Anolis sagrei: one gene and its partner. The protein of the gene in region 1 interacts with the protein of each later gene in a biochemical or structural test. Links are inferred from orthologs where the notes say so. Each region holds a gene or a part of one and is shown on either strand. Other genes may lie near its edges.

Region 1 (12,403 bases):
GATATACGGTCGCGCAGGTATGTGGGTCCCAAACCGTTCAGGGTTTTGTGTAATATATGTTCATACAGACTAGGAGAGGATTATTATATTCCAGGACAATGCAATTAATATATGCAAGGCATGGAAAAAACCATTTATACTTGTATATAAGTCAACCTCATGTATACGTATAGGGCAAGATTTGGGGTCAAAATTCTGGATTTTGATATGATCTGTGGAAAGGCGAGGGTAACTCTGTGGATAACGAAAAGCACCAGCATCGCTGCAGGAGGCCAGCCGCCCCTGGCTGGTGCCATCCTTCCCCAAGTATTCAAGAAAGGTCAGAAGCAACATCACACATCAAGCAACAACCTTTGTAGTACAGCCAGACTTTGACTTTTATAGAGATGTTACTAATACTAATAGGCACCTTTGCTGTCTGTACTACATGCAAGGTGGCATTGCTTATTTCACATATCCTCAGAGGTTTCTCATTATGTTCAAGTCACTGCAGCCAACACACTAACATGTTATGACATACAGTTTGGAAAACTCTGCTCTAGAATTTGTTGGAATCCCCCGAGTATCCTAGGGTTTGAGAATGTTTGGAGAAAGTGATCAGAACTTTGAATGCGATTTTCCTGCTTCTTGGCAGGTGGTTGGACTGGATGGCCCACAGGTCTCTTCCAACTCAATGATTCTATTATCTGTTTTGTCAGTATCCAGAAACATTACTCTCTGCCATGCCATCGTACTGTAGGTGATCAGGAGGATTAAACTTTTTTTTTTAAACATCTTGATATTGAGCTAGAATTTAGAGGCTCCTGCCCAGGAGAGGGGAGCCCATAGAATTTCCTGAGGTTTTTTTGTCTTGCTGGGGTCGCGAAAGGTGGCTTTCCATAATTTTTACACATAAACACAGACGTGGGATTCATAAGGCATGCACAAGGGAAAAATGGGGGAAAAGGAAATTCATACAAACCCATCCACCCACCAAAGTCCATAGAGAGTCCAATATTATGAAATCATATAGCCCCCAAATTATGATGGGGAATCCTTGGGGTTTTGGGGGAAAAGTTCCAGAAAGTTTTCAAAAGTCCTTAAAAGTTGGAGAAAGTTGATAAAAGTTGTAAAATTCAGGGCAGGCAAATTGCAAAGGTGTCCCCAGAGTCCATAGAGTTCTTATGAACCAGCTGCCAGTGTTGGAGATCAAGATCCACAGAGAGAACTACAGATCCCTCCTTGCCAAGGACCAGGGTGGCCCGCTGACACCTTGGGGATCCTATGGGGTGACCGCGACAGTTTCCCAAGATCAGCAGGCTTTCTGGGCATCTACAAAATGGTGGCAGTGAGGCAGTGTCTTCATAAAGCCAGCTGGGCTCCAGGTCAAGGTTTGGGGGACAAAAAGGGTTATTCCCATGGCGGAGGGGTTAGCGGAGCGATACCGAGATAGCCATTAGTCTTCGAATTCTCCCAAGAAGAATGACACAATTTTTGAAGCGATCCATTGACTCACGGATATGGGGACCCAATGGGTTTCCATATCCGCGGTTTAAGGGAACGCAGTTTCAGCCTCCTCGGGATGCAAAAATCGCATCCCGGGCGGGCCGGCAGCCATCTGCAGCCCGGGAGAAGAAAGGTTTATGTAGAGCAGGGGTCCTCAAATTAAGGCCCAGGGGCTGGATGCGGCCCTCCAAGGTCATTTACCTGGCCCTCGCTCAGGGTCAACCTAAGTCTGAAATGACTTGAAAGCACACAACAACAACAACAACAACAATGCTATCTCATCAGCCAAAAGCAGGCCCACACTTCCCATTGAAATACTAATAGGTTTATATTTGTTAAAATTGTTCTTCATTTTAATTATTGTATTTTTAAGTGTTTTTGCACTACAAATAAGATATGCTCAGCATGCATAGGAACTCATTCATTTATTTCAAATTATAATCCGGCCCTCCAACAGTTTGAGGGACTGTGATCTGGTCCTCTGTTTAAAATGTTTGTGGACCCCTGATATAGAGCGAAGTTAGAGGCAATGAAAGGACACAAAGTAACACTTTGTTGTTGTTCAGTCGTTTAGTCATCTCCGACTCTTCATGACCTCATGGACCAGCCCACGCCAGAGCTCCCTGTCGGCCGTCACCACCCCCAGCTCCTTCAAGGTCAGTCCAGTCACTTCAAGGATGCCATCCATCCATCTTGCCCTTGGTCGGCCCGTCTTCCTTTTACCTTCCACTTTCCCCAGCATAATTGTCTTCTCCAGGCTTTGCTGTCTCCTCATGATGTGGCCAAAGTACTTCAACTTTGTCTCTAGTATCCTTCCCTCCAATGAGCAGTCGGGCTTTATTTCCTGGAGGATGGACTGGTTGGATCTTCTTGCAGTCCAAGGCACTCTCAGCACTTTCCTCCAACACCACAGCTCAAAAGCATCTATCTTCCTTCGCTCAGCCTTCCCTAAGGTCCAGCTCTCAAAGTTACCGTATATTCCGGCATATAAGACGACTCGGCGTATAAGACGACCTCCAACTTTTCCAGTTAAAATGTAGAGTTAAGACGACTGCCATGCATAAGACTACACCCACGTATAAGACGACCCCTGACTTTTGAGAAGATTTTCTTGGGTTAAAAAGTAGTCTTATACGCCAGAATATACTGTACAATTAATTGATACTTTTTATTGGGGGGATTAGTTACAATGTTAGGAAGGGGAAGAAAGCGAAACTAACAAGAAGGTTTCTGAATTGCAGCTGCTGCTGTGGCCATGTTCATGCAGGTTGGCCCAAGCGGGGCAATGGAGAACTGAGGAACTCCCTGCTGCAGGTCAGATCAGCTTGAAGGCAGGGAGTTTGACCTCAATCTTAGCCTCCTGAATATGAAATGAATATGCAATACCACCATGACGTTTAGAGGTTCAGCTGATGAAAGTAGACATACAGGTGCATTAACTGCCACTGCTCAAACACATATGTGAAGCCCAGCTATTTCATGAGGCTCCCCCCACTTCTGTGCTTGGGCAGCTAGGAGTTCTGTTTTCATAGTGGCAGATTATATTTTCTTGGTTTTAAAAATGTAATCTTCTGGTTTGAAAGGTGAGATGGAAATTGAGTAAATAAATAAACAGCTGGAAGGAAACACAAAGAGATATGTTGGTTTAGCATGACCTCTCCAGAGCTATCAGTATTTCACTGAAGGAAAGCAGCTTTGGTGCTAAACCAGTGGTGTATGCAGTGGACCGAAAAGGGTCAATATATTCATGCTGAAATGCAGACATGACAAAAGCACACCAGAGAATAAATATTCAACTTATTCTGGGTGTGGTTACACTCTCCCTGGAAACTTGTGTTTGCAGCTCGCCCGTACTCCTGAACCCAACCTTGAGCCTGGATATATAGGTTTCAAAGGTGATCTGGAGTACATTTGTATAATAAAACTAGTGCACCTGCTGTGCCTGCTCCTGAAAATGACTGATCATGTCACTGTGGTTACACGTATTTACTCGAGTCTAATGTGCCATCGAATTTTACCTGCACCTCAATGTTCAAAACCTTAAAACTAAAAAAAGTATTTGCTGGTGTCTGTAATATCCAGTAACAAAAGGTGCACTCTTTGTAATTTGGTCAAAAAAATAGTGGCTGCCTGCTTTGAATTCCTCCTTTAAGAACAAAAGTGTTAAGACACCAAAGCTTTCAGCAATGGAAAAGAAAACCTTGGGGTGCATCTGTGCTGTAGAATGAATCCTTGGTTCAATGTTTTGGAGTCATGGGGGCTGTACTTACTTACTTAGGCGATCCCTCGTTTCCTGAGGAGGATTGTCTTCCAATATTCTTGTGGGTCCGTATGTGGCTGTAGAGCCCTATTCTTGTTCTGCATCTTCTCCCGCAGTGAGGGCACTGGTTTCCAGGTGGAAGGCGGTCTCGGTCAGGGTTGGCTTGATGCTCCTTCCTCTTGGCACGCTTTTCCCTTTCGCCCTCCATTCATGCCTCTTCAAATTCTGCAGCACTGCTGGTCACAGCTGACCTCCAGCTGGAGCGGTCAAGGGCCAGGGCTTCCCAGTTCTCAGTGTTTACGCCGGAGTTTTTAAGGTTGGCTTTTAGCCCATATTTAAATCTCTTTTCCTGCCCACCAACATTCCGTTTTCCATTCTTGAATTCGGAGTAGAGCAACTGCTTTGGGAGATGGTGGTCGGGCATCCGGACAATGTGGCCGGTCCAGCAGAGTTGGTGGCGGAGGACCATCGCTTCAATGCTGGTGGTCTTTGCTTCTTCCAGCACGCTGACGTTTGTCCGCCTGTCTTCCCAACGGCTGCTCTGGCCACAGCGAAGACAGAAGGGAGCAGAAGACACTTCCATCTTGTCTTTACTAATAATATAATAATAGTATATTGTATATACATATAATATTTATAATATTATAATGTAATACAATATAATACTAGTAATAATAATTCAATATTATAATTATAATTATATATTTACATTACATGTAATATTACTAATAATATTACAATATAATGGTATAGTGCAATATAGTAATATATACTGATATTGTACTATGCTAATAATATAATATATTGTATGAAAATATATATTGTAAGCCACTCTGAGTCCCCTTCAGGGTGAGAAGGGCGGCATATAAAAGCCGTAAATAAATAAATAAATACATTTGCAGGATTTTCCGGAGGCAGCACTGATGGAATCGTTCCAGGAGTTGCATGTGACATCTGTAGACAGATGTCCCGGTCTTCAAACACTCTCTGCTTCATTGGGGAAAATGCTGCGCTCGCAGAGCTCAGGTGGTGTTGTATTTCGGTGTCGATGTTGGCTTTGGTGGAGAGGTGGCTGCCAAGGTAGCGGAAATGATCAACATTTTCGAATGTTACACCATTAAGCTGTATCACTGGCTTTGGAGAGGGGTTGGCTGGTGTCTGCTGGAACAGCACAGTTTTACAAAGTCTTGAGCCTTCTCTGCCAAAAGATGCTGGTGACTCACCAACTACAAATCCCAGCATTGCATAGCATTTAACTCAGGCAATTAAATTAGAGATCATGTCCCTCAAATAGGAGTTCCAGGTGCTTCGGAAGTAGCTTCCCATTTTGCTTTGGCTCAGCACTAAAATTACTGTATAACACAAAGCTAATGTGCACCTTAATTTTGGGAAGGTAATATAGCCCAAAAAGGTGAGCATTAGATTTGAGTAAATATGATATATCCTGTTTGAATTACAAGTTCTCTCTTCTCCTGTCTCCTGTGCTAAGCTAATAACATAATATAATATATTGTATATACATATAATATTTATAATATACTAGCCGCCCCTTGCCACGCGTTGCTGTGGCCCACATGGCTGTTCTGTGTGGGAGTTTTGGCCCAATTCTATCATTGGTGGGGTTCAGAATGCTCTGCGATTGTATGTGAACTACAAATCCCAGGAACTACATCTCCCAAATGTCAAGATTCTATTTTCCCCAAACTCCACCAGTGTTCACATTTGGGCATATTGAGTTTTCGTGCCCAGTTTGGTCCAGATCCATCATTGTTTGAGTCCACAGTGATCTCTGGATGTAGATGAACCACAACTCCAAAACCAAAGGACACTGCCCACCAAACCCTTCCAGTATTTTCTGTTTGTCGTGGGAGAACTGTGTGCCAAGTTTGGTTCAGTTCCATCGTTGGCGGGGTTCAGAATGCTCTTTGATTGTAAGTGAACTACAAATCCCAGGAACTACAATGTCAAGATTCTATTTTCCCCAAACTCCACCAGTGTTCACATTTGGGCATATTGAGTACTCGTGTAGAGTTTGGTCCAGATCCATCATTGTTTGAGTCCACAGTGATCTCTGGATGTAGGTGAACTACAACTCCAAAACCAAAGGACACTGCCCACCAAACCCTTCCAGTATTTTCTGTTTGTCGTGGGAGAACTGTGTGCCAAGTTTGGTTCAGTTCCATCGTTGGCGCGGTACAGAATGCTCTTTGATTGTAGGTGAACTATAAATCCCAGCAACTACAACTCCTAAATGACAACATCATTTTTTGAGTGAAGAACATACATTGGACTGTTAGGTGTATTGTGTCCAAATTTGGTGTCTTTCGTCCAGTGGTTTTTGAGTTCAGCATTACATTCGCCTTTCCAAAAAGTTAACTTTACTGAAGCGATTGGCTGCTCGCTCTGAGTGACAGAAACATTGGCCAATAGAAAGCGAAAAAGGCGCAGCGGGCGGGGCTCGCCGCTTTGATAGATAACTCGTTGTTTGAAGAGGAGAGCAAGGGTTACGAATGGGGAGCAGCGCCCGAGAGAAAGGGGCGGGGTTTAATGCAGTTTGACCACTTTCCGGAGGCGGCTATTGGCTGGGTGAGCCGCAGAGGGAGCGCCGAATGACAGGCGAGTTCGTCCAATTAGAACGCCAACCGGAAATGAGGCGGGCCGATGCAACAGCGCCGTATCAGCGCGGGAGTCCGCCAGATCCTCGTTCCCTATTGGTTACCGCTACGGAGTGATGGCTGCGCTGACCAATGGGAAGGGAGTCGGGGCGGTAGGAGGCGCGAGCGGGGCGTCGCTGAGGCCGGATGAGGAGACTCCGAGGGGGAAGTTTGGTGCTTGTTGCCGGGGGCTGAGCGAGGAAGCGGAGGAGCGCCCTCCCCGCTTTCTTTTAGGCCGTCGCCATGGGCAACCGAGGGATGGAGGAGCTGATCCCGCTTGTTAACAAGCTGCAGGATGCCTTCAGCTCCATCGGGCAGAGCTGCCACCTCGACCTGCCGCAGATCGCCGTCGTCGGCGGACAGAGCGCGGGCAAGAGCTCCGTCCTGGAGAACTTCGTAGGCCGGTGAGTGGGAAAGGGCTCTGAGCAGAATGCGGCGCAGTTTACGGAAATGCCTGCCGAGAATGCCGCGCACGCGCGCCTGCTGCGGAGCTGGGCACACGCACCGTCTGTGAATAGCCCCCTCCGCCGTAGTGAGGGCGTCTCAGTGCGCCAGTTGCGTCAGCTGCGTAAGGGGCGCGCGAGGCAGGCGGGCAGGGAGGGGCGCGCGCGGGAGAAGCAAGCTTTGTGGGGATGCTCTCCCGGCCTCTGGCTCGTCCTCGCGCCCTGTGGGTCTGTGAGTGTGTGGAATGGGCGGGCGAGGATTACAGCAACCTTTGTGCCTCCCTCAGCAGCAGGTGCAGTTTGGGCCTCCTCCTCATTCGACGCCACTCTGCTTAAACTCCCCCACACACAATAATGACACTTGTCATTGCATATTCACAGCACAACAACAACATTCTTTTCTTGATATCTTGCTTTTAGGCCTGTTTCTGAGGTTATTTTGTTTATTTATTTTATTTCCAGCATTTCTACGCTGTCTTTCTCAACCCCCGAAGGGGGACTCGGGACGGCTTACATTTGGCACAATTTGATGTCATTATTTATTTTATTTTTTTTATTTCGAGGTTTTATATACCGACCCTTTCACCTTCAAAGAGGGATTTGGACCGGTTCACAACATGTGTTAACATACAAAGAATATACAATAACAACACAATGGCACTTCATAACACGATTAAAATATCAGCACCATACACATTATTTATTTATTTATTTATTATTTAAACTTATATGCCGCCACTCCCCTGGGGCTCGGAGCAGCTTACAAGAATAGCTAAAATCTAACAAAGTTTAAAACCAATTTAAAACAATTTAAAAACAACAGTATCAAACATTAAAAGCCTGTCGGAACAGGTATGTCTTACATGCCCTGCGGAAAGCTGATAAGTCCCGCAAGGCACGGGCTTCAGGTGGCAGAGTATTCCAGAGTGATGGTGCCACTGCTGTAAAGGCTCTGCGTCTGGTTGCTGTTAGACGCAAGGTCTTGACACTGGGGACTTCCAATAGATCTTGGTCCTCAGAACGGAGGGATCTCTGGGGTTGGTAGGGGGTGAGACGATCCCTCAGATACATTGGCCCCAGACCATGCAAGGCCTTAAAGGTGAGTACCATCACTTTGAAAGTGATCCGGTGCTCAATTGGTAACCAATGCAGCTGTAGTAAGATTGGTGTTATGTGGCATCTCATCGGAATTCCCGCAAGAAGCCGAGCAGCTGCATTTTGTACCAACTTGAGCTTCCGAATCACCGACAGAGGGAGGCCAATGTAGAGGGCGTTACAGTAGTCCAGTCTTGAGATCACCGATTAAAACATTATCATCACAGTTAAAAGAGCCAAATCGTCCGACACCATCACAATACCATTCATCATCCTCCTTTCATGTGAGCAAAGAATTAAATCAGTTGTCAAATGCCGCGTTCCATAACCAGATCTTTGTTAGTTTCCTGAACGTCATGAGGGAGGGGGCAGTTCTGATCTCTAATGGCAGGGAGTTCCAAAGTCGAGGGGCCACCATCGAGAAGACCCTGTTCCTCGTCCCCACCAGCCGTGCTTGTGCAGGCAGTGGGACCGAGAGCAGGGCCCCTCCAGACGATCTTAGTGGTCTTGATGGTTCGTAGGGGAGAATACGTTCGGAGAGGTAAACAGGGCCGGAGTTGTTTAGGGCTTTATAGGTTAACACCAGCACTTTGAATTGTGCTCGGAAGCTAATCGGCAGCCAGTGGAGCTGGTGTAACAGTGGAGTGGTGTGCTCCCTGTACCCAGCACCCGTTAGTAATCTGGCTGCCGTGCGTTGTACTTGCTGCAGCTTCCGGGCAGTCTTCAGAGGCAACCCCACGTAGAGAGCGTTGCAGTAATCTAAGCGGGATGTAACCAAAGTGTGTACTACCGTGGCCAAGTCAGCCTTCCCAAGGTACGTTATATTATTAAATATAACAAAGCAATATAACCACATTTAAAACAATAAATAGAACATTAATTTAAACAATAGAATCATAGAATCAAAGAGTTGGAAGAGACCTCATGGGCCATCCAGTCCAACCCCCTGCCAAGAAGCAGGAATATTGCATTCAAAGCACCCCTGACAGATGGCCATCCAGCCTCTGTTTAAAAGCTTCCTAAGAAGGAGCCTCCACCACACTCCGGGGCAGAGAGTTCCACTGCTGAATGGCTCTCACAGTCAGGAAGTTCTTCCTCGTATTCAGATGGAATCTCCTTTCTTGTAGTTGAAAGCCATTGTTCTAGTCTCCAAGGAAGCAGAAAACAAGCTTGCTCCCTCCTCCCTGTGGCTTCCCCTCACATATTTATACATGGCTATCATATCTCCTCTCAGCCTTCTCTTCTTCAGGCTAAACATGCCCAGCTCCTTAAGCCGCTCCTCATAGGGTTTGTTCTCCAGACCCTTGATCATTTTAGTCGCTCTCCTCTGGACACATTCCAGCTTGTCAATATCTCTCTTCAATTGTGGTGCCCAGAATTGGACACAATATTCCAGGTGTGGTCTAACCAAAGCAGAATAGAGGGGTAGCATGACTTCCCTGGATCTAGACACTATGCTCCTATTGATGCAGGCCAAAATCCCATTGGCTTTTTTTGCCGCCACATCACATTGTTGGCTCATGTTTAACTTGTTGTCCACGAGGACTCCAAGATCTTTTTCACACATACTGCTCTTGAGCCAGGCGTCCCCCATTTTGTATCTTTGCATTTAGTTTTTCCTGCCAAAGTGGAGTATCTTGCATTTGTCACTGTTGAACTTCATTTTGTTAGTTTCAGCCCATCTCTCTAATCTGTCAAGATCGTTTTGAATCCTGCTCCTGTCCTCTGGAGTATTGGCTATCCCTCCCTATTTGGTGTCATCTGCAAACTTAGAACATTAATTTAAACAATAAAAACAATATTAACCACCGTATCACCATTCCAGTCAAATTCCATATCCAAAGCGCTATTTGGATATGGATGACACCTGTTCGGCCCCACAACCGTTGTTGTGTGGAGTCCCACAGGGTTCAATTCTGTCCCCGATGTTGTTTAACATCTACATGAAGCCGCTGGGGGAGATCATTTGGAGTTTCGGAATGAGGTGTTATCTCTATGCAAGATACAGAATGGGGGACAATGCCTGGCTCGAGAGCAGTACTTGTGAAAAAGATCTTGGAGTCCTCATGGACAAGAAGTTAAACATGAGCCAACAAAGCCAATGGGATTTTGGCCTGCATCAATAGGAGCATAGTGTCTAGGTCCAGGGAAGTAATGCTACCCCTCTATTCTGCTTTGGTTAGACCACATCTGGAATATTGTGTCCAATTCTGGGCACCACAATTCAAGAGAGATATTGACAAGCTGGAATGTGTCCAGAGGAGAGCAACTTAAATGATAAAGGGTCTGGAGAACAAGCCCTATGAGGAGCAGCTTAAGGAGCTGGGCATGTTTAGCCTGAAGAAGAGAAGGCTGAGAGGGGATATGATAGGTAAAGGTAGTCCCCTGACATTAAGTCCAGTCATGTCTGACTCTGGGGTGTGGTGCTCATCTCCATTTCTAAGCCGAAGAGCCAGCGTTGTCCGTAGACACCTCCAAGGTCATGTGGCCGGCATGACTGCATGGAGCGCTGTTACCTTCCCACCAGAGCGGTACCTATTGATCTACTCACATTTGCATGTTTTCGAACTGCTAGGTTGGCAGAAGCTAGGGCTGACAGCGGCAGCTCACGCCGCTCCCCGGAATCGATCCTGCGACCTTTCGATCAACAAGCTCAGCAGCTCAGTGCTTTAACGCACTGCGCCACCGGGGGCTCCCTGGGGATATGATAGCCATGTATAAATATGTGAGAGGAAGCCACAGGGAGGAGGGAGCAAGCTTGTTTTCTGCTTTCCTGGAGACTAGGATGCGGAACAATGGCTTCAAACTACAAGAGAGGAGACTCCATCTGAACATGAGGAAGAACTTCCTGACTGTGAGAGCCGTTCAGCAGTGGAACTCTCTGCCCCGGAGTGTGGTGGGGGCTCCTTCTTTGGAAGCTTTTAAACAGAGGCTGGATGGCCATCTGTCAGGGGTGATTTGAATGCAATATTCCTGCTTCTTGGCAGGGGGTTGGACTGGATGGCCCATGAGGTCTCTTCCAACTCTTTGATTCTATGATTCTATGATCCTTCTCACCTGTCACCAAGGAGGCTGTCCAAACCTTGAATTTATTTATTTATTTATTTGGTAGTGTCTTCTCACCTCCATTCGAGGGACTCGGGCCAGTTTCCAACATCAGTATTACAGACCGTCATTAAAACATCATATTTCTAAATCACACTAAAACATTAAAACATTAACAATTAAAATGGCAAAAATACAATCATATGATTACAGTGGTCAGTCATCATCAAAGTCATTATTCGTCGTAATCCATCCATATCACAGGATCATGGCTCATTCGTTGAATGCCAATCCCCAAAGCCAGGTTTTCACCTGTTTCCTGAACGTTAAGATCGAAGGGGCAGTTCTGATCTCCAGTGGGAGGGAGTTCCAGAGTCGAGGGGCCACCACCGAGAAGGCCCTGTCTCTCGTCCCCACCAGCCGCGCCTGTGAGGCTGGTGGGATTGAGATCAGGGCCCCTCCAGATGATCTTAGTAATCTTGATGGCTCATGGGGAGGATACGTTTGGACTTTAAATTGGGCCGGAGTCGTTTAGGGCTTTATAGGTTGAACTGGTGCTTGGCAGCTGTGTTGGGCTGAATGAGAGCTAACAAATTGAAACTGAATCCAGACAAGACAGTGGTCCTACTGGTCAGTTGTAAGGCCGAACAGGGCATAGGGTTTCAGCCTGTGTTAGATGGGGTTACACTCCCCCTGAAGATGCAGGTTCGCAGCTTGGGAGTGATCCTGGACTCATTGCTGAGCCTGGAACCCCAGGTCTCAGCGGTGGCCAGGAGAGCTTTTGCACAATTAAAACTTGTGCGCCAGTTGCGCCCGTACCTTGGGAAGTCTGATCTGGCCACAGTGGTCCACACTTTTGTTACATCCCGAATCGATTACTGCAACGCACTCTACGTGGGGTTGCCTTTGAAGACTGTTCGGAAACTTCAGTTAGTCCAGCGGGCGGCAACTAGACTACTCACTGGAGCATCATACAGGGAACATACCACCCCTCTGTTATGTCAGCTCCACTGGCTGCCGATCTAATTCCCAGCACAATTCAAAGTGCTGGTTTTGACCTACAAAACGCTATACGGTTCCGGCCCAGCGTATCTGTCCAAACGCATCTCCTTCTACGTCCCGCCTCGGAGTTTAAGATCTTCTGGGGAGGCACTGCTCTCGGCCCCACCTCTATCACAAGTGAGGTTGGTGGGGACAAGGAGCAGGGCCTTCTCGGTGGTGGCCCTGCATAACCTGTGGCCTTCCAGATGTTAGACTACAGCTCCCATAAATCCTGACCAAGTTGGCTAAGGCTTCTGGTTGCAAACAACCTGGAGGGTCACAGGTTGTCTCAGCATGAACTAAAGCAACTTTTATAGGTCCAAATGCTACCCTGGAGGGGGTGGGAACTCCCTGCCATCAGTGGAATAGCTCTGCCCTCC
Region 2 (12,028 bases), on another chromosome or scaffold:
GAAGCTAATCGGCAGCCAGTGGAGCTGGCGTAACAGAGGGATTGTATGCTCCCTGTACCCAGCCCCCGTTAGAAATCTGGCTGCCGAGCGTTGGACTAGCTGCAGCTTCCGGGCAGTCTTCAGAGGCAGCCCCACGTAGAGAGCAGTAATCTAGACGGAATGTATAGCCAATTCTTCAAGAGTAGCACATTTACTTAGAACAGTGTTTCTCAACCTTCCTAATGCCACAACCCCTTAATACAGTTCCTCATGGCGTGGTGACCCCCAACCATAAAATTATTTTCGTTTCTACTTCATATCTGTAATTTTGCTATTGTTATGAATCGTAATGTAAATATCTGATATACAGTATGCATGTTCATTCACTGGTTGAAATTTGGCACAAATACCTGATATGCTCAAATTTGAATACTGGTGGGGATGTTTGGGAGTTGCAGTTGCTGGGATTTATAGCTAACCTACAATCAAAGAGCATTCTGAACTCCACCAACAATGGAATTGAACCAAACTTGGGACACAGACCGCCCATGACCAGCAGTAAAATACTGGAAGGATTTGGTGGGCAATAACCTTGAGTTTTGGAGTTGTAGTTCACCTACATCCAGAGAGTACTGTGGACTCAGACAATGATGGATCAGGACCAAACTTGGCATGGATCCTCAATATGACCAAGTGTGAACACTGGTGGAGTTTGGGGAAAATAGAACTTGACGTTTGGGAGTTGTAGTTGTTGGGATTTATAGTTAATCTACAATCAAAGAGCATTCTGAACCTCACCAATGATAGAATTGGGCCAAACTTCCCACACAGAACCCCCATGACCAACAGAAAATACTGTGTTTTCTGATACCCCCCAGGAGTCCCGACCCCCAGGTTGAGAAATGCTGACTTAGAAGAACATTATGTGAACTGCATAGATCCCGTGGATCATTCATCTGATGGATGGGGGGAGCCCCAAAAGTATTTGAGTCAGAGCTGATTTGATTTTGGGTAAATGCCCCAAGATGTATTGCATACACTATAGGACAAAGACACATTTTCTTGAAGCACTGATATGAATGATGTAGAAAACACTGAGACCAACGACTATGGGAAAGAAAGCATCCATCTCCACTACTATTACCCATATATCATCATATACGTAAGGAATCAATTCAGTCTTAGTAAAACATTGAAATGACAAGGCCTTCAGAAAGGTTGACAAGAATTGACAGGGAAATGTACTTGGGTTTCCTGAGCCAAGCACTTTCTAATGTTTTTGTTTCGTTCTGGATGCTTTTCTATCACGTGGTAACATGGAAAATGAGGATTTAATTATGTTGCCAGTGTTTTTCACGCTATGTTAGATTTGCTACTCAGATTTGCAGTGACCAACCATCCCTCTTTCTGTTTCAGCAGCAAGACTACAAACTTGATTTCAAAAAGCCACTTAAGGAATAAGATACAAACAACAGTTAATTCAGAATGTTTTATAGAAGAGAGAAAGATACAATGGAACCTAGTTACATATCTATCTACCTACCTACCTAATTACCTATCTATGTAAAATTGTTCGTAAGTTTTGCTATGGTATTGATCACAAATTCATATGATCAGATATATGGCTTTTTTGGTTTTAGTGTGTGTACCAACCTGAGCCAGTATTTTTAAACCAGGTTCTGGTTTGTGGATCTCAGGGTTTAATACAAAATGAAGAGGAATCATAAACCTGAAATCTGATAAGCTGTGTAACAGATCTAGAATAGGGAAAGACTTAATTTTACTAGCAGACCACTTTTGTATAGAGGTTCCTGAAAATGCAAACTTATGATAGGAAGCCACACACTGACTAATCCTGGCTTGACTATTACAGCATAAGTAGAAACATTCAGGCTGTGGGCAGAGTTTCCTGAGGATTTGTCTGAGATGACACTGAATTCCAGCCATTCTGCAACCCATACTTAGAAATGCTTGCTATTGTTGCTATATATATATTTTACCACTGAGAAATGCTCTCATCAGCTCTGACTCAACTTTCCTGGACTATGGAGCTCCCTGTACAAAAGGAAAGGGATGGCTATAAGGTTAGCAATACAGAGAAAAGATTTCCTTAAGTACAAGGACAGGAGGCCACTATAAACAAAAATATAATACAATAATATAAGTCATATGGCTTATATTATTGTATTATAGTATTGTTTATAGTGGCCTTTTGCCCTTATAAGGTTAGCAATGGGCTCACTTATCCAAAATATCCCTCTCCAGATGTGTTTGTGGGCCTCTCTAGATCAACCAGTGCTATTTAATAGGAAGCTTCCAGCTGAAGAAGAGTCCAAATATAGTGTTCTGTAGTATCCATGGTTTCAGTATCCACGAGGATCTTAGAACATATCCTCCAGGGATAAGGTGGTTGCATTGCATTGGTATTAGGGGCCAATAAAAGCTGCTTTCTTGACTGAAGAGTGACTATGCCAGGATATGGAAAATCTTAAAACTCTTTCGATAACTTCATCGTCTAGAATTCTGTAAATCTGCTGTAGTCATTATGTCTTGTTTTCTGTAAACCTTCAGTGACTACCTTCAAGTCTTTCCTGTTTTCTCCCAGTAGCATGCTGTTATCTGCATACCTTACATCAGAGCTTTCCAAACATTTCATGTGGGTGGCATACTTTGTAGACACGTATCATTTTTGGGGCACAATAATTTGGTTTAACTGGCAAACCAGAGGTTAAACTAACTCCTTATAAGAGATACAGTTGCATACATAAATTGTAATAATGGAATGTATGGGGACGCAACATCTCTTATGAAAATCTTTCATTTTTATACTTTAAAATATATTATTTGTAAGACAATAACATGCATTTCCAAGATTTCCCATTATGTTTCCATGACATTCCTACACACTGCAGCTAACACACTCATGTGTCAAGACACAGTTTGGAAAGATCTGTGTTATAACAACAATAACAACAACAACAACAACAACTGTATTTATACCCCGCCTCATCTCCCTAGAGGGTCTCTGGTCAGCTTACAACCAAAGAAATGGATACAATAAATGATATACACAGAAAGTGATCACATAAAAGCAATTTTAATTATTTATTTATTTACTTCACTTGTATACCACTTTCCTCCCTTAAAAGGGGATTCAAAGCAGTTTCCAACATAATTATGGCAAAAATCAATGCCTCACATACAGAAACCTAACATAACAATAATAACATACAATTATCAATTAAATCATAAACACATCATTTAAGATTAAAACATAGAATTAAAACATATCAATATAAACATTAAAATCACACAATCCAACAATAGCACAGCATTATAAACACACTCTCACACAAAACAATTTTAGGTGTGTCACACAAACATAACGTGAAACCTCTGAGTTATGTGAAATACAAAATAAATACTGTATTTTAAAAACAAAATATAATGAAATGTATAGGGACACAAGACATCTCATGAAAACCATTTATATATAATAAAAATATATGATTTATTTTACCTGTTAGTGCAATTAAACCCCACTTCGTCCCACGGATCCCTTCTCCAGATACATTACATTGCTCTCTCACCCATTGTTTTTAAACTTTTAATCTCTGCAACCAGCCCTGCCCACTGTGATCAACTTTCTGTGTTCAATGTATGTGATGTATTTTCGAATGATGCATGCAGATCCAAGTTAGGTGGCCTTTTGCAGTTGACAGATTGTGATTTTGTCAATGTTTATTGTTTCCAAATGCCGGCTGAGATTTTTTGGCACGGCACCCAGTGTGCCAATGACCACTGGGACCACCTGCACTGGTTTATGCCAGAGCCTTTGTAGTTCAATTTTGAAGTCTTCATAGCAGCTGAGTTTATCCTGTTGTTTTTCCTCAATGCGGCTGTCATCTGGTATGGCGACATCAATAATCCAAACTTTTTTCTTTTCCACAATCATCATGTCTGGTGTATTGTGCTCCAAAACTTTGTCAGTCTGGATTCGAAAATCCCACAGTATTTTTGCGTGTTCATTTTCCACTACCTTTTCAGGTTTATGATCCCACCAATTGTTTACTACTAGCAGGTGGTACTTGTGACATAACTTCCAGTGAATCATTTGGGCCACAGAATTGTGCCTTTGTTTGTAGTCTGTCTGTGCGATTTTCTTGCAACAGCTGAAGATATGATCCATGGTTTCATAGTTTCCTTGCACAGTCTGCATTTTGGTTTCCTTGCACAGTCTGCATATCGTGTCAGCTTTTCCAGTTGTTTCTCTTCAATCCTGCTGTTGCCTGGGATTGCAATATCGATGATCCATGCTTTGTTTTTCAACACAATTGTGAGGTCAGGAGTATTGTGCTCCAAAACGCTGTCAGTCTGAATTATTACTATTACTATTATTATTATTAGAAACACAACGAGCCCACAGCAGACAAGATCACTCTGCTAGCCAGGCATCGGGGGGGGGGGGGGGGGCTTGAGGGGCTTCACCCCCCCCCCCCAAATTCTCAGGGTGGTCCATGAGAAGGCCTTACCGGTACAGTATTTAAATTGTTATGTTTGTTCATATCATGATCTGATCACCATGCTCAATATATCCCATATGCATGGGGGTATTGTGGTAATGATACAAAAGGTTTGCTAGGGTTTGCTAGGGTAGATCCTCACCCCCCCTCCCCGGGAATCAAACTCAGCTCTCCTTGAATCAAAATCCTGGCTACGGGCCTGCTCCTAGCTGTTGAATTGGATCACACGTGGGACATTTCCCAAGTGTCTAGGACTGTGTGATGTATCAGCAAATAATGCGTGCCCATCCCAGTAAGTTGGACTTCTGCAGCTGGCAGATGGTAATTTTGTCAGTGCTGATTGTGTTTAAGTGCAGGGCAAGGTCTTTAGACACTACACCCAGTGTGCTTATCACCACTGGGACCACCTTTACTGGCTTGTGCCAGAGTCTTTGCAGTTCAAATTTAAATCCTCATATCGTGTCAGTTTTTCTAATTGTTTCTCTTCAATCCTGCTGTTGCCTGGGATTGCAATATCAATAATCCATGTTTTGTTTTTCAACATGATCGTGAGGTCAGGAGTATTGTGCTCCGACACTCTGTTAGTTTGAATTATTATTATTATTATTATTATTATTATTATTATTATTAACACAACAAGATGAGTCCACAGCAGACACTCTGCTGGCTGTTGTAGTGGATCAGAGGCCGGACACTTCCTAAGTGTCTAGGACTGTGTGATGTATCAGCGAATAATGCATGCAAATCCCAGTAAGGTGGCCTTCTGCAGCTGGCAGATGGTACTTTTGTCAGTGCTGATTGTATTTAAGTGCAGGCCAAGGTCTTTAGGCACTGCATCCAGTGTGCCGATCACCACTGGGACCACCTTGACTGGCTTGTGCCAGAGTCTTTGCAGTTCGATCTTTAAATCCTCATATCATGTCAGCTTTTCCAGTTGTTTCTCTTCAATCCTGCTGTTGCCTGGGATTGCAATATCAGTGATCCATACTTTGTTTTTTAACATGATGTGAGGTCAGGAGTGTTGTGCTCCAGAACTCTGTCTGAGTTTGGAAGTCTAAGAGGAGTTTGGCATATTCATTTTCTGTAACTTTTTCCGGCTTGTGATCCCACCAGTTCTTTGTTGCAGGCACAAGTTCCAATGAACCATCTGAGCAACGGTGTTATGCCTCTGCTTGTAGTCTGTCTGCGCAATAGCTGAGGATGTAATCTATTCTTTCATCTGCTTCCTTGCAGTCTACATTTGGGATCTGTTGTTGACTTTTCAATTCTGGCTTTGATGGCACTGGTTCGAATTATTAATTATATAATATATAATAATTAATTATATAATTAATTCAATATAATTATAATTAATTTATTGTTATCATTTATTATTATTATTATTATTAAGATGGCCTGGCTTCAGACCCTGGCAGCGTAGATCCAGCCGAAGAAGAGAGGCCTGAGAAACAACCACCCCGGCCCCCCACCCCAGCGGGAAGAGGCTCTCCTTCCGAAAGCAAGAGTGTGCCTTCTGAGGGCGTCACGTGGGGAGGGGCGTGGCTTGGGCCAGCCCTCCTTTTCCCGCCCCTTTCCCTCCCTCCGCTCAAACCCCGCCCCTGGGCCTGGGAAGAGGAGGAGGAGGAGGAGAAAAGGGAGGAAGGAGAAGGAGGAAGAGAGAGAGAGAGAGAGGGAGGAAGAGGCGCCTTTCTTTTCCCCTCAGTTGGGTTGAGGAGGAGGAGGGAGAGAGGGAAGGAGGAGGCAAGGGGGCGTCTGCAGAGGGAGGGAGCCTCCCTTTCCTCCTCCCCCTCCTCCTACTCGCCTTCCTCTCCGCCGAGGCCCAGGAGGAGGGAGCCCGGAGCTGCATCCCCTCCGCCGGGGGCCACTCGCCATGGCCACCAAGGTGAGCCTTCCTTTCTCCCCTCAGGCCTCTCTGCCTGCTCGCTCGCCATTCCCGTCCTGCTTCCCTCTGGGCGCGCTTTGGGCGGGTTGCCTCCTCACATGAAGGGCGTGTGGAGGCTCTTGTTGTTGTTGTTTTTCTTTGAGGGGATCCCCTTTGATCCCTGGCTCCAGAGGCCTTCCTTCCCTGTCAACTTTCCTCGCTGGGCTCACCCAGAGACTGAGAAATTGTGTTGTTATTGTTATTGTTGGAAGTTTGGCCATTAACGGCCAAAGGAAAGCCCATTATTAGACTGCCTTGGGGAGAATTGGGCAGGGATGGGTTTGACGTGGCTCCCTGCTGTGGGCTCATGGGAGTTGTAGTGTTACAAGGCCTCTGGGATTCTGTGTCCAAAGGCCTCCCTGTGAATGTGGTTTGATACCACTTCAACTGCTCCATGGCTCCTTCCTGTGGAGTAGGCCTCCAGGTGTTTTGGACTTCAGCTCCCACAATTCCTTACAGCAGTGGTTCTCAACCTGTGGCTCCCCAGATGTTTTGGCCTTCAACTCCCAGAAATCCTAACAGCTGGTAAACTGGCTGAGATTTCTGGGAGTTGTAGGCCAAAACTCCTGGGGACCCACAGGTTGAGAACCACTTCCTTACAGCCTCAGGCCCCTTAAGTTCGGGGAGGGGGGGTGGAGGAAGGGGCATGAGGTTGATAGGAATTGTGGGAGTTGAAGTCCAGAACACCTCGGGGGGCTGAAGTCAGCCCTGGTAGGAACTGGCAAACCCACCTCTTAATTCTTTTTTTTTGAGAAACTGCAAGTCGCTTCTGGCATGAGAGGATTGGCTGTCTGCAAGGATGTTGCCCAGGGGATGCCCAGATGTTTTACCACCCTGTGGGAGGCTTCTCTCATATCCCTGCATGGGAAGCTGGAGCTGACAGACAGGAGCTCACCCGCTCCCTGGATTGGAACAGTCTACCTTGTGGTCAGCAATCCTGCTGGCACAAGGGTTCAACTCATTGTGCCATTGGAGAGAAGGGGGGGGGGGGCTCCTAAAAAACCATCTCTTAATATTCCTTGCTGAAGAAAACCCTGTGAAATTCATGAGGTCACCATAAGTTGACAGGTGTGTGCACACAATTATACAATCTTTTTTTTTTGTACCTGTTGTTGGATGTCACAGTGGCGATATCTGGTATATATTCAAACTCTGAAAGATTACAGTCCTGTACAGATAGTCCCCAAGTTACAAACAAGATAGGGTCTGTAGGTTTGTTCTTGAGTTGTATTTGTTCAAAACAGGTACATTTTTGAAGTATAACTCCAGCTTTAATAATAATAATACTATATATATAAATAGTAATATATGAAATAATATTTTATTTATAAAGTGTTGTTATTTTATATAGTATTAGTAGTAGATATATATATGTGTGTATATGTCTGTGTGTGTGTGTGTGTGTAAAGGTAAAGGCTTCCCTGACATTAAGTATAGTCATGTTCGACTCTGGGGGGTGGAGCTCATCTCCATTTCTAAGCCGAAGAGCCAGCGTTGTCTGTAGACACCTCCAAGGTCACATGGCCAGCATGACTGAATAAAGCGCCGTTACCTTCCCGCAGAAGTGGTATCTATTGATCTACTCACATTTGCATGTTTTGGAACTGCTAGGTTGGCAGAAGCAAGGCCTAACAGTTGGCACTCACCCTGCTCCCCAGATTCAAACTGCTAACCTTTCGGTCAGCAAGTTCAGCAGCTCAGCGGTTTAACCCGCTGCACCAGTAGGGGGCCCATATAATATATAAATTTGATTTGGGTAGTGTAGGGAAGGGTTAGCACCCCTGTTGTGTTTGTCTTGCTGTCTGTGTCCCCGTTCAGAAGATTTCACCTCACTTTCTCTTCCTGTCATAATTGGATTTTGGATCAATTGGCTTGTTGTGGAAACAAGGATTGCTGAGAAAGCTTCAGTGGAGACGCCTCTCAGGAGTGAATTTCCCTTCAGAGGGGCAGATTTCTCTCACTTCATGTTGTCTCACCCCTGTTCTTAATGAAGAGTTGTTTGTAAGTCAGATGTTTGTAACTTGCGGACTGCCTGTATAATGCAAATAGCACATATTTGAGGGAACATAATACTGCTGTCCAATATATGCTTATTTGGTAATAAGTCCTGTAGTGTCTGTTTGGTCTTACTTGCTGGTGTTTTTTTTTTCCTTTTGGAGTTTAGGCCTACATTGGTTTTTACATGTGCTTCAAAAATACTTTCAAGAGGAAAGGAAGAATGCTTAGAGGTCTCAAGGAAGGAGTTAATGAATGTTAAGGAAATGTTGTTCCAAAATCATTGTGGGTTCATAATGTATGGCTTACTTGTTTAGTTACCACAAAGGATTTTAAAATTCACCTTTTTTTCCCCTCTTTCTTTGATCTTTCTCATATGTTAGTTTTGGTTGCCAGTCCATGTTTACAATGAGTATTTCCAAATCACTCTATGGAAAAAGCTGTGTCATTTACCTGACCTATAAAAGGAGAATCATTGAGTAATCAGTAACTTCTGATCTTCTGTATACCTGTTTTGGAATTTATTTTAGAACATAAATATAGTTATGTTTTTATTATTTTTTGTTCTTACATAAGGCGTTGAATTTAATTGGTCACTCAATCTGTAATTATAGTGTGATACTATTAATAATAGTTTATTAATGACAGGATCATATATTTTGGCAAATGGTAGATTTGTGTGAAGCCCAAAGGAGTGGATTGACAACAAATCGGATAGATAGGACTATTAATAATATTTTCTGTATTGTCAAAGGCTTTCATGGCTGGAATCACTGAGTTATTGTAGGTTTTTCGAGCTATATGGCCATACTCTAGAACAGGGGTCCTCAAACTTTTTAAACAGAGGGCCAGGTCACAGTCCTTCAAACTGTTGGAGGGCCAGATTATAATTTTAAAAAAAAAACATGAATGAATTCCTATGCACACTGCACATATCTTATTTGTAGTGCAAAAAACACTTTAAAACAATACAATAATTAACATGAAGAACAATTTTAACAAATATGAACTTATTAGTATTTCAATGGGAAGCGTGGGCCTGCTTTTGGCTGATGATATAGGATTGTTGTAGTTGTGTGCTTTCAAGTCATTTCAGACATAGATTGACCCTGAGTGAGGGCCGAGTAAATGACCTTGGAGGGCCGTATTCGGCCCCCGGGCCTTAGTTTGAGAACCCCTGCTCTAGAAGGTCTGACCTCGCATCCTCTGAGGATGCCTGCCATAGATGCAGGTGAAACGTCAGGAGAGAATGCTTCTAGAACATGGTCATATAGCTCAAAAAAACAATATTTTCTATTTGCTGTGATAATCTATAATCTTAAAATTGGCAGAAAGTCTTTCCTTTTTATAGGTTAAAAAGTTGTTAAATCTTAGATATCTTTTGGTTTAGCTTGAACACATGGTAGAAGTAGAGCAGAATCTTTCTGATCATTATTAATGTTTGAACATTATGTTAAACCATAGTTTAACACAATGCAATGAATATCTGTGAACTTTTAATTCATAGTCTTCTTCCCATCTTGTTTTCTGTAACATTGGGGACAAGATCAGAAACCTCTACTGCTATTTGTGGTTGTTCAATGTTGCAAAGTTATTCTTAACTATGTTTAGTGGAATTGGGCCTGGTCTATAGATCATGTTTTATAGTAAACATGTCTTCACTAGCTGTGGCTTGTTGGGTTTGACTTGCACAACAAACCTTAAGTCCAAAAGCTTTTATTTCCTATTTATATTACCTATCAACTGTGTATGTGTTTTTGTTTTTGTGTGTGTGCTTCATAAGCTGAGGGCCTGTTGTGACTTACTCTTCTCACAGAACTAAACATGGCTAGAGAGCAGTGTTTCTCAAACTCTGTTCCTCCAGTTGTTTTGGACTTCAGCTCCTAGAAATCCCAGCCAGCTTACCAGTTAGGAATTGTGAGAGCTGAAGTCCAAAACTTCTTGGAGGATCAGAGTATGAGAAACACTGTTATAAAGATTTTATTCCTACATTTTCATTATGAGACCAGCTGAAGCAAAATCCCAGAGGAAATGCCTTGTGCTTGTACAAACGCAGGAATAGCTGTGTTGACTGTAAAACAAATTCCAAAGGCCATATGATGGTACAACTTTTATTAGGCTAACCAAAAACACACAAATATGCATGCCAGCTTTCAAAACCAAAGATTGTTATCAGGCAAAAAAAAAAAGTACTTTAAAAGAAGTACAGAGTAGAGGTGAAATGAAGATGTTGAAGTCCCATGATGTTGAAGTTCAAGTTTTGCATAGTTTGTGCTGTTTTTCAATAGTCAGTATGGGTAGAGTACATAGCAATTCAGTTTAGATGCATCAGACACCACCCACAATGGGTCATGTATCTAAATAATCATACCCATGTGATCTTCTGAGCAGTTTTGTCCAAATTGAGTAATCTCATTTGTTTCTTCAGAAGTAGTTCAAGTTTTGCATAGTTTGTGCTGTTTTTCAATAGTCAGCATTCGAACAGGAAAGGAAAAAATGACTTAACCCTGACTTTTACAAATAAGGCATAATTGCTGAGTGATATTTTTCTGTCATCTGCCCTGATGTATAGTTTTTCCCTTTAAATTATCTTTGTCAATATAATAACAAAAAATGAATTTCGAAAAAACTTTAGCTTGAACTCTCAGTCTAAAATGGCCAATAAACATTCTTTTTCCCCTTTACATTTTCATTATTAGATGACTTAGTGTTAAATTTTTGTGACATTTCCATATTGTGCCATTATAGTGTACTAAAAGTAATTACGAATAAAGTTATTGAAAACTGTAATTTCAGTTTTGTAGCTAAAATTTGTAAGCATGTTAGGGTTTTTTGTTTTTTTGTTTATTTTGCTACTTGGGTTTTTAACTATATACTTAAATGTCTCCAATATTTCATAAAAATATAATTGTTAAAAATAAAACAGCAAGTCAGTTGGTCAATCTTTATTATCATGATTAATGACCAGTGATGACAAAAATAATAACTAAGTGTTTTCAGTGGTAATTATACCTGCTTGCATGTGAAGTCAATGGGGCACTATGATATTTGAAAATAAGAGAAAATGTGCAACCAAAAGTACACAAAAATATTGGTGTTGTCTTTCAAAAGCAAGGATTCTTCATTAGGCAATGATTAAAAAAAAAGATGCAAGGGGAAATGAAGATATCATATAGGTTGGGACTCAGGAACAAGAAATAAGAAACCAATAAAAAAGAAGTTGGTATCCCAAGAGTGGGAGACCTTTGACTATGTAGGTATTTGGATAACATTACTGGTGATTCAAAATTGTGACAATGATAATGGTGAGAGGGAAGAAGAAACTCCTGATGAAAGTATCCATGTCATCAAATACACATATACATTTTGACATATAAAATCTCTGGAAATTCATCCACCAATAATATGGGTGTAGCTTTGGCAGAAGGGGAAATTCAGATAAGATTTGGGAGCAGGTGTTTTGGGATGCACTTTATGCCTTTTTTACTCATTCTGTTTTACAGTGACATTGAAATGAAGATTGTTTGCTTATAGTCTGAATACCTAGGCCATTTTACTAAACATTCAGCGGAGTTGCTGTGAGTTTTCCATACTGTGTGGCCATGTTCCA

What was found.
Region 2: the proteins of DNM2 (region 1) and SNX9 form a complex in vitro, tested with the Homo sapiens proteins (2 studies listed by BioGRID and IntAct, with this or other methods). The link is inferred for Anolis sagrei from reciprocal best matches to the Homo sapiens genes DNM2 and SNX9.

What each region holds. Positions count from the first base shown.
Region 1 is NC_090022.1:169,257,587-169,269,989, reverse strand, and holds the start of DNM2 (dynamin-2), read left to right. Parts: upstream 1-6,524; 5' UTR 6,525-6,642; coding exon 6,643-6,803; intron 6,804-12,403. UniProt on the Homo sapiens protein: Catalyzes the hydrolysis of GTP and utilizes this energy to mediate vesicle scission at plasma membrane during endocytosis and filament remodeling at many actin structures during organization of the actin cytoskeleton.
Region 2 is NC_090021.1:69,210,276-69,222,303, reverse strand, and holds the start of SNX9 (sorting nexin-9), read left to right. Parts: upstream 1-6,102; 5' UTR 6,103-6,372; coding exon 6,373-6,384; intron 6,385-12,028. UniProt on the Homo sapiens protein: Involved in endocytosis and intracellular vesicle trafficking, both during interphase and at the end of mitosis. Required for efficient progress through mitosis and cytokinesis. Required for normal formation of the cleavage furrow at the end of mitosis.